Cricetulus griseus: one gene and its partner. The protein of the gene in region 2 interacts with the protein of the main gene of each other region in a pairwise test. Links are inferred from orthologs where the notes say so. Each region holds a gene or a part of one and is shown on either strand. Other genes may lie near its edges.

Region 1 (3,912 bases), on a different chromosome or scaffold from region 2:
TACAAAGACCCTGCATACCTCCTATAATAAAGAGTCAGAAGAAAAATTGTAGGAGGTGGTTGTGTTTGGTCATTTATGTGTCTTGTGTTCAGACATGATTATGGAAAAGTCTTTTTATCAACCAGAGTGTAACTTTGTCTGAAATTGGTGTTTTGTGAAATTGTGCTGAACTGGCTGACACCACCACGGCCTCACTATTGGTGCTAGCCTGGCTCCCGGCAACACCACTCTCTTGCTTCAGGCAAGAGAGTGCAAGCCAGCTGCCAGGAACTACTTTTTCATTGCCATACTTGCGGTGGGGGCAGGATAGGCAACCCCCTTTGTCAGAACATGGAGTCCCCTCATTACACTTCTTTCTAATACCTTCCAATAGGTCCACTTTGCTTCTCCAAACCGCCCCCTGTCCATGGCAAACAGGTTTGCTCCCACACTAAAAGAGCCAACTGGACCCAGAAAGAGCAGCTTTGCCCAGATCTTCCGGTTGGTGATCAGGTGGAAACTAGAATGCTGACTTTGGTTTTCCATGCAGCAAACCTCCCTTCCAGACATTAGGACAGGCCGAGGTATCAGCTTCTAAACAAACAAACAAACAAAACCACCTTCTCTGGTCCACAGTGCACTCTGCCTTCTTTCTTCTCTTTTGGGATTCTACCGTAGGTCTCCCGCCAGCTGGGATTCTAAGATCTTCACTAGCCTGTCCGGCTGTATGTTTTCAATCTCCATGTTCCTGCCTAATCGTTCTCCTTTTGTTTTGAGACAGGTAAGACTATGTACCCGAGGCTGGCCTGGAACTCACTTGTCATCCTGCCTCAGCCTGGAGGGCTGGAATTACAGTCACACCTGGCTCAGGTTTCTATTCGCCCTTCTCTGCCTGAAACTGTCTTTATCCCTGGACGCTTCTTTTCACAATCACCTTATCCGTTAAGCCTTCAACCTGGGCGTCCTACTTCCAGTGCCGCTTCCCCTGGGAGCCTTATGGCCTCATTGGAGAACTTTCTTTGGTTTCTGTTGACTGTTCTTCCTAGAGTCTGTCAAGTGCACTGTGGTGGGGTAGGGAAAACCATGGCCAACGTCCAGACCTCTGTACGTGGTTTCTTTCACGCGAGTGAAGCGCTCCGCAAACTGAGACCGTCACGGGCTGAGGTCGTCTCCGTTCACACGCACAAGGAGCAACGGCGCCGGGCACTTTCTCCATCTAGACGTCCCCGAGAACGTCTGTCTGCACGCCAGACCGCCAAGGCACCGGCAGATCGCGCTTGCTCCAGCTCTTGGCCCCGCCCCGGCCCTGGCCCCGGCCCCGCCCCCTGCCCCGGCTTGCCGCGCCTGCGCAGCTGCCCCCGCCGGCTTCCGGGTGGAGCGAGCGCACGATGGGGCGGAGGGTGGACGTCGCGGAGTAGCGGCGGCGAGTGGGCGTGTGCTCCGAGCGGTCGGGCGCCCGCGCTGGAGTCGCGGGGTCTCTGAAAGCCGGTCCGGGACGCGGAGAGAGCCTGCGACTGCCCCCGCGTCCGCTCACTGGCATGTCGGCCGAGGCCTCTGGCCCGGCGGCGGCTGCGGCCGGATGTGTGGAGTCCCCTAAGCCCTCGGGTGTGGAGCCTGGCTCCCCCTCGTACAGTCTGAAGCCCCTGACCCCGAACAGCAAGTATGTGAAGCTGAACGTGGGCGGCTCGCTGCACTACACCACGCTGCGCACCCTCACTGGGCAGGACACCATGCTCAAGGCCATGTTCAGCGGCCGCGTGGAGGTGCTCACAGACGCCGGAGGTATGCGTGCCGCCGGTACACGTGCTGCCCTCCAGCCCCCAGTTCGTTCCCGGTTCCCCGTCCCATCCTATCTTTTTCTTATTCAAAGTCTTCCTCCTTCCCCAGTCCTTTACTTCCAGCAGTAACCTCTGCCCAACACTCCATTGCGGATGATCTTCTCTTCTCCCCTTAGTTCAGAAAGCCTGGGAACCAGCCCTGCTGCAAGCAGCCCCCCTCAGACAACCTTTACCACTTTCTTCCCACTGCCCAGCCTTTTGTTTGCCTTTCTGCCTTAGAACCGCCAACAGGCAGCCTGCAGAACTGAACGATATTGTGTGTCTGTTTCTAACACATGCCCCTGCACTCTCTAGGAATCACCTATAAATGCAGATTGTAGAAGGAGAAGACTGCTTTGGGTTTACAAGGGACCTGAGCGAAGGGTGCAGCTCTCCTTGGCAGGTTAACCTTAACCTTCTTTGAGTGTTGCCTTTAAAATTGGGAAGGTATTAACAAAGATGAAAGCAAACGCTTAGGAGGTGAAGTTCAGATTTCAAATATTGGCGATGAAGAGATCAGTTATTTGATAAGTATTTGTGAAGAGTCAATTAGTGCTAGAGAAGGTTTGGTTAAAGGGATCTGATGAGTCTTACAAAGTTACCACGGGGGTGGGGGTGGGGTGGCCAGGGAGAGCATTGGGTGGGAATGACCAGTAAACCAGAAAATCACATGTAATCATAGAGTAAGTTCTTTGAATAATGTTGTCATTATTTTATTATTGTGGTCAACTAGAGGGTTGAGGTGGACATTTTCACTTAAATGAATTGGTTAAAAATAGCAGAAGGGATTAAGTTTATTGATAGGTAATTCGGTACGAATTTTCCCACTGTAAGCTTGGCTTGTTGGCACATGCCTATAATGCCAGCTCTCAGTCTGGGCTTCATAGTGAGATCCTGCCTTAAAAACAACTGGCTCTAGGCTGGAGAGATGGCTCAGAGGTTAAGAGTACTGGCTGTTCTTCCAGAGGTCCTGAGTTCAAGTTCCAGCAAATAGATGGCAGGTCACAACCATCTTCTATAATGAGATCTGATTCCCTCTTCTGACGAGCAGGCAGAAAACTGTATACATAATAAATAAATAAATCTTAAACAAAAAAAAAACCAAAAACCCAACTGGCTCCGGGCGCTGGTACTGCACACCTTTAATCCCAGCACTCAGAAGGCAGAGGGAGGTGGAACTCTGTGAGTTTGAGGCCAGCCTGGTCTACAGATAGAATCCAGGACACCAAAGGCTTCACAGAGAAACACTGTCTTGAAAAACAAAAACAAAACAAAACAACAACAAAAAGACTTGCCCATGGTGAGAGCCTTTTGACTGTCCAGAAGACTTGGGGAGGGAGTTGTTCTGTGGCAGGTGTGTGGCAGGTGTTCTGTGGCAGGAGATGTTTGAAAGAGTTCTTGGATAAGGCAAAAGTTTGACACAGGTAAGTATTTAGGTTTTCTTTTGGCTTTGGAATTCATTTTCTCAAAACGTATTAGAGTCAATCCTTCCTTTTGCCTTTTCCCATCCCACCAGGTTGGGTGCTGATTGACCGGAGTGGCCGACACTTTGGTACAATCCTTAACTACCTGCGGGATGGGTCAGTCCCACTGCCTGAGAGTACTAGAGAACTCGGGGAGCTGCTGGGTGAAGCTCGGTACTACCTGGTCCAGGGCCTGATTGAAGACTGTCAGCTGGCACTGCAGGTGAGAGTCCCTGTGCTTCCGTTCTTGGGGGAGCTATCCATTAGATAGCTATTACAACAGAAGCTAGAGAGAGATGGTCTAGAGAGCCTGGCTCAGACTGGGCATAACCCCCAGGCTTATGGGATTTGGGGTACTATCCTCCGAGGCACCCCTGCCCCTTGAGGCAGGGCTGCAATACACCTGGTGTCAGGACTGTTCTCATTAGAAAACCCTGCTCTGTGGTTGCAGCTGTTCCTGCCCAGCTCTTACTACCTCTTGAGTCATTAAACACAACCCCTGCTCATCCTCTCCTTTGCTCTGAAGGCTTGAGCCTCAGTTGGAGTGCTTGAAGAAGTCAGTCACAGGACGGCTTTCTGCCAGTTTTCTCCTTTTTCACCATGTGCATTCTGGGGATGGAGTATTGGTCATCAGGTTTGGCCACTGAACCATT
Region 2 (3,812 bases):
AAATCCCAGGAAATGCAAGGACTGTGGGATAAGCACCAAGGACAAACGTGGAGCAGACCTAGCATGAGACTACAAAATAAGCTGTGGCATGCATGGAAGGCAGAGCTAGAAGTGGTGCAGAGCTGCCCAAACCCTGTGGAACCCAGAGATTAGGAGTGAGACTCACATGTCTGACATCAAGTTATTTATATGTTGGCTTTTGGTTTTGTATTAGTTTATCAACATTAGATTTTGGAGACAAATGAAGGGAGAATGTGCTAAATTGGCAAAGGATCAATTATGCTGGTTAGTTTCTGCCAACTTGATACAAACTAGTCACTTGGAGCTTCAAGGAGGAATTACCTCTATCAGACTGGCCTGTAGGCATGTTTGTGTGGGCATTTTCCTTTCTTTCCTTTTTTTCCCCGAGACAGTGTTTCTCTGTGTAGCTTTGGAGCCTATCCTGGCACTCGCTCTGGAGACCAGGCTGGCCTCGAACTCAAAGAGATCCGCCTGCCTTTGCTTCCTGTCCCTGCCACCAAGGCCCAGCTTGTGTGGGTATTTTCTTGAATGATGATTAATATAGAAGGGCCCAAACCACTGTGGGTAGTACCACTCTTAGGCAAGTTGGCCTAGGCCATGTAAGAAAACAAGGTAAGCAAGCTATGGAGAGAAAGCCAATAAATAATATGCTCCCAAGTAGTCTCTACTTTAGTTCTGCTTCCAGATTGCTGCTTGAATTTCTGTCCTTAATTACCTCAATGATGGATTGTGACATGAAGGGTAAACCAAATAAACCATTTCTTCCAAGTTGCTTTTGGTCATGGTATTTTATCATATTAACAGAAACCTAACCAGGACAGTCCTAATATGACTGCTGCTGACCATAGGTGAGTAAAGCAGACTCTGTATGGGGCTTTGGAGAGGCATGGCTGACTTCTGCACAGGTGCCATTTAACTGAACCCCTTCTCACTCACAAACAAACAAGGACACTGAACATCCTCCTCTGACTCCATGTGCCCACAGCCTCAAGCATTTCCCTCCCTGAAACACATGAATCCATTCTTTCCCTCTACACCTGCTTATACACATACCAGATATGCTTCTTGGGTCCTGGTCCAATCTGAGCCTGTCTCCACCAGCAAGAGGTACTACCTACTGAAGGGCTCAGCTTCAACCAAACTTAGCCCAAAACTGGCTGAGCAAAGGGCCAATGGGCCATCTGACCACAAACCTCAGCCCTCTACCCCCAGGACTGTAACTGCCCTTTCCCAAATGGAGGTTTTTAACTGTAGTTGTTATATCTCATGATCATAAAGTATATTCAAAAGATTAAAGACCCCACTCAACCACAGGATAGTCATACCACCCTGGGGGGACCCTACTATTAGTAAATTCAAGGCCAGTCTCAACTTCCCAGCTACATAGCAAGTTGAAACCAGCGTAAGCTAAATGAACCTCAAAAAAAAAAAAAAAAAAAAAAAAGAGGGGTAGGAAGGGAGAGGTAAGACAAAACTGAAGACTCAAACCTCTGGTATCAGAGTAGGAAAGAAACCAAGCAGATTAGAAGTTTGAGCCTTCACAGGGTTGTCTTCACACTCTGCAAGAGTAGATCAGCAGTTTGGCAACTGTCTTCTAAGAACCTGGATACTGACACTAAACATCAAGTGTAGAAGGCTGGGTCCTCCCACAGCTTCTATCTACAGTACATGGAGCTCTAGCATCACCTGAAAACAATCGCTACAAAGATCTGCCCACTATCTACAACACCGACCTCATCAACGCTACTAGCATCTGTTGAGGTGGTCAGTGCCAAGGAAGGTTGCTGAGACTTAAGGACATGTATAGAAAACTCCCAGAAGCCCTCAGGGGAGGCCTAAGAACAGGTCATTGATACCTGTGTGGCTTGGGACTATGGGCTCAAATTCCCCTAACCATTTCTTGCTGGTCCCTCAGCTTTTCTCCAAAGCTTCATGAAGTTCACTGTGGCGATCAGGGCCAGCTAGAACATGATCTCCAGAATAGAAAGCTTGTGCAGTGTTGTTTTCAGACCACAGGGAACTGGGAAACCAAGAGGCCCAGGCCCTAAGCCACTGTCGAACTACTTCCTTTAAACCATTGCTCAGGGAAAGCTGTTCAGCAAAGGAACACGACAGAGACCCTTGTATGTGGTCTTGGGGTATGGTCTCATTCCATCACATTAGCTAAAACGTTCCTAGAGCCAATTACACAAAAACCACACCCCATCAATCCCAAAAATTAGTCATAAAAATTCTTCTAGCTAAGCATGGGGGTATATATACAACTTTAAACCTAGCACAGAGGCAGGAGTCTATCTGCCTGATCAACATACTGAGTTCCAAGGCAGACAGGGAGATTCCCCACCTCCAGAAAATTCTTCCCTCTCCCATGAAAAATGCTCCCCCCAAAACTGACAATAGCAGGTAGGATATCAAGGTCCCAAAACACTCATAATAAAAGCCTAAAATAGGAACACAGAAACATGAGATGGCTATTTAGGTGCCAGGTGTTGGCCAGGAAAAACCCACCTTTGTTTGCTGGAGGTCTCTTCAGCTTTGGGTCGCCAGCCCCATGGTACCAATTGCAGGTTGTCCAGGCGATTGTCCACAGTCACAGAATTGAGATGTACCACCTGAAACCCGGGAGCCACACCTCCCCTATGTCGTTCCCTAGGGAAAGAATTTTTGTCTTGAGGGAAAGACCCTCAAGCACTTCTACTTGAGCATGAATGTTCAACCACACAGAAATGTCAATCATGTAGTCTGAACTGGGCCCTTACCCTGCCAAAGGGGTATACCAAGAAGAAGCTAAACACAAACAGGGGACCAGGCTGATGATTCTGTCCCTGTATTTAAGGGCTTTGCTCAGAGGGTAATGGATAGAACCCCCCAAACCACCAAAACAATCTAGAGACAAGTTCCCCTTCAGGAAGGTCTCAACATTTCAAACCACCTTATACACCCAGGATCAATAGTTCATTTTCTTAGGATGTAGCCTGACTTATCAGAGGGATCAAAAGCAGAACCCCTTCTTCCATAGATCTTGTCTCATCAGAATCCCACCAGTTGTTTAAAGTGGTATGTACATTAGTCACTCCTTTGGGTTAGTGGTAAAGGTCACAAAATAAACTCCCAGACTTAGGGAAGATAAGGTTGAATCTGACTCCACTGGCTAGAATGCTCTCTAGCATTTAGGCATATTGTGCATATCAGAGCTCACATGGAGATTAGGTGGGGATATTTATTAGCTGGAAAATACCCACCATAGCAGCTCATGCAGAAGCCTGCCCGAGCCCCTTCCTCGGTTTTTGTCGAAGGCATATGCAAATATCTTAGCACCATTTCCATCAGCATCTACTTCCATTCGAGCCTGAGAAGAAGCACAGAGCAGAGTAGGTCTGTTGGAAAGCCTCCAACTCACAGCAACATTTCAAATGTAGCTTAGAAAAATGTCAGAGGTACAGATGACATCCTGCTTCAAGGACCCAAAAAGTACTGGGGCTTCCTGTTCCACTCAAGCAAGAAACCCTCAACAGCTTAGGAAATATTATGGACACCAAGAAATAAATTTTTCCCCATTTTAAAAAGGTACAGAAAAGCGGTGGGGTGGGGTGGGGGTGGCACTAGAGGTGGCTCTTTCAGAGGACTTGGGCTTGATGCTCAGCACCCACATGGTAGCTCACAACTATCTGTGTCTAGTTCACAGATAGTTTGCTGTGATGGTCCACATCTGAAATCTCAGCACTCAGGAACTGAAGACAGGGAGATTGAGTGTCCATAGCTCTGGAGGCACAGAGCAAGACCCTGTCCAA

Evidence for each region.
Region 1: the proteins of Zmynd19 (region 2) and Kctd13 interact in binary tests that used the Homo sapiens proteins (3 or more experiments, as listed by UniProt). The two-hybrid records come from large-scale screens. The link is inferred for Cricetulus griseus from reciprocal best matches to the Homo sapiens genes ZMYND19 and KCTD13.

Annotation. Positions count from the first base shown.
Region 1 is NC_048596.1:73,818,104-73,822,015, reverse strand, and holds the start of Kctd13 (BTB/POZ domain-containing adapter for CUL3-mediated RhoA degradation protein 1), read left to right. Parts: upstream 1-1,340; 5' UTR 1,341-1,517; coding exon 1,518-1,761; intron 1,762-3,312; coding exon 3,313-3,482; intron 3,483-3,912. UniProt on the Homo sapiens protein: Substrate-specific adapter of a BCR (BTB-CUL3-RBX1) E3 ubiquitin-protein ligase complex required for synaptic transmission.
Region 2 is NC_048599.1:136,305,850-136,309,661, reverse strand, and holds part of Zmynd19 (zinc finger MYND domain-containing protein 19), read right to left. Parts: intron 3,371-3,812; coding exon 3,264-3,370; intron 2,671-3,263; coding exon 2,530-2,670; intron 1-2,529. UniProt on the Homo sapiens protein: May be involved as a regulatory molecule in GPR24/MCH-R1 signaling.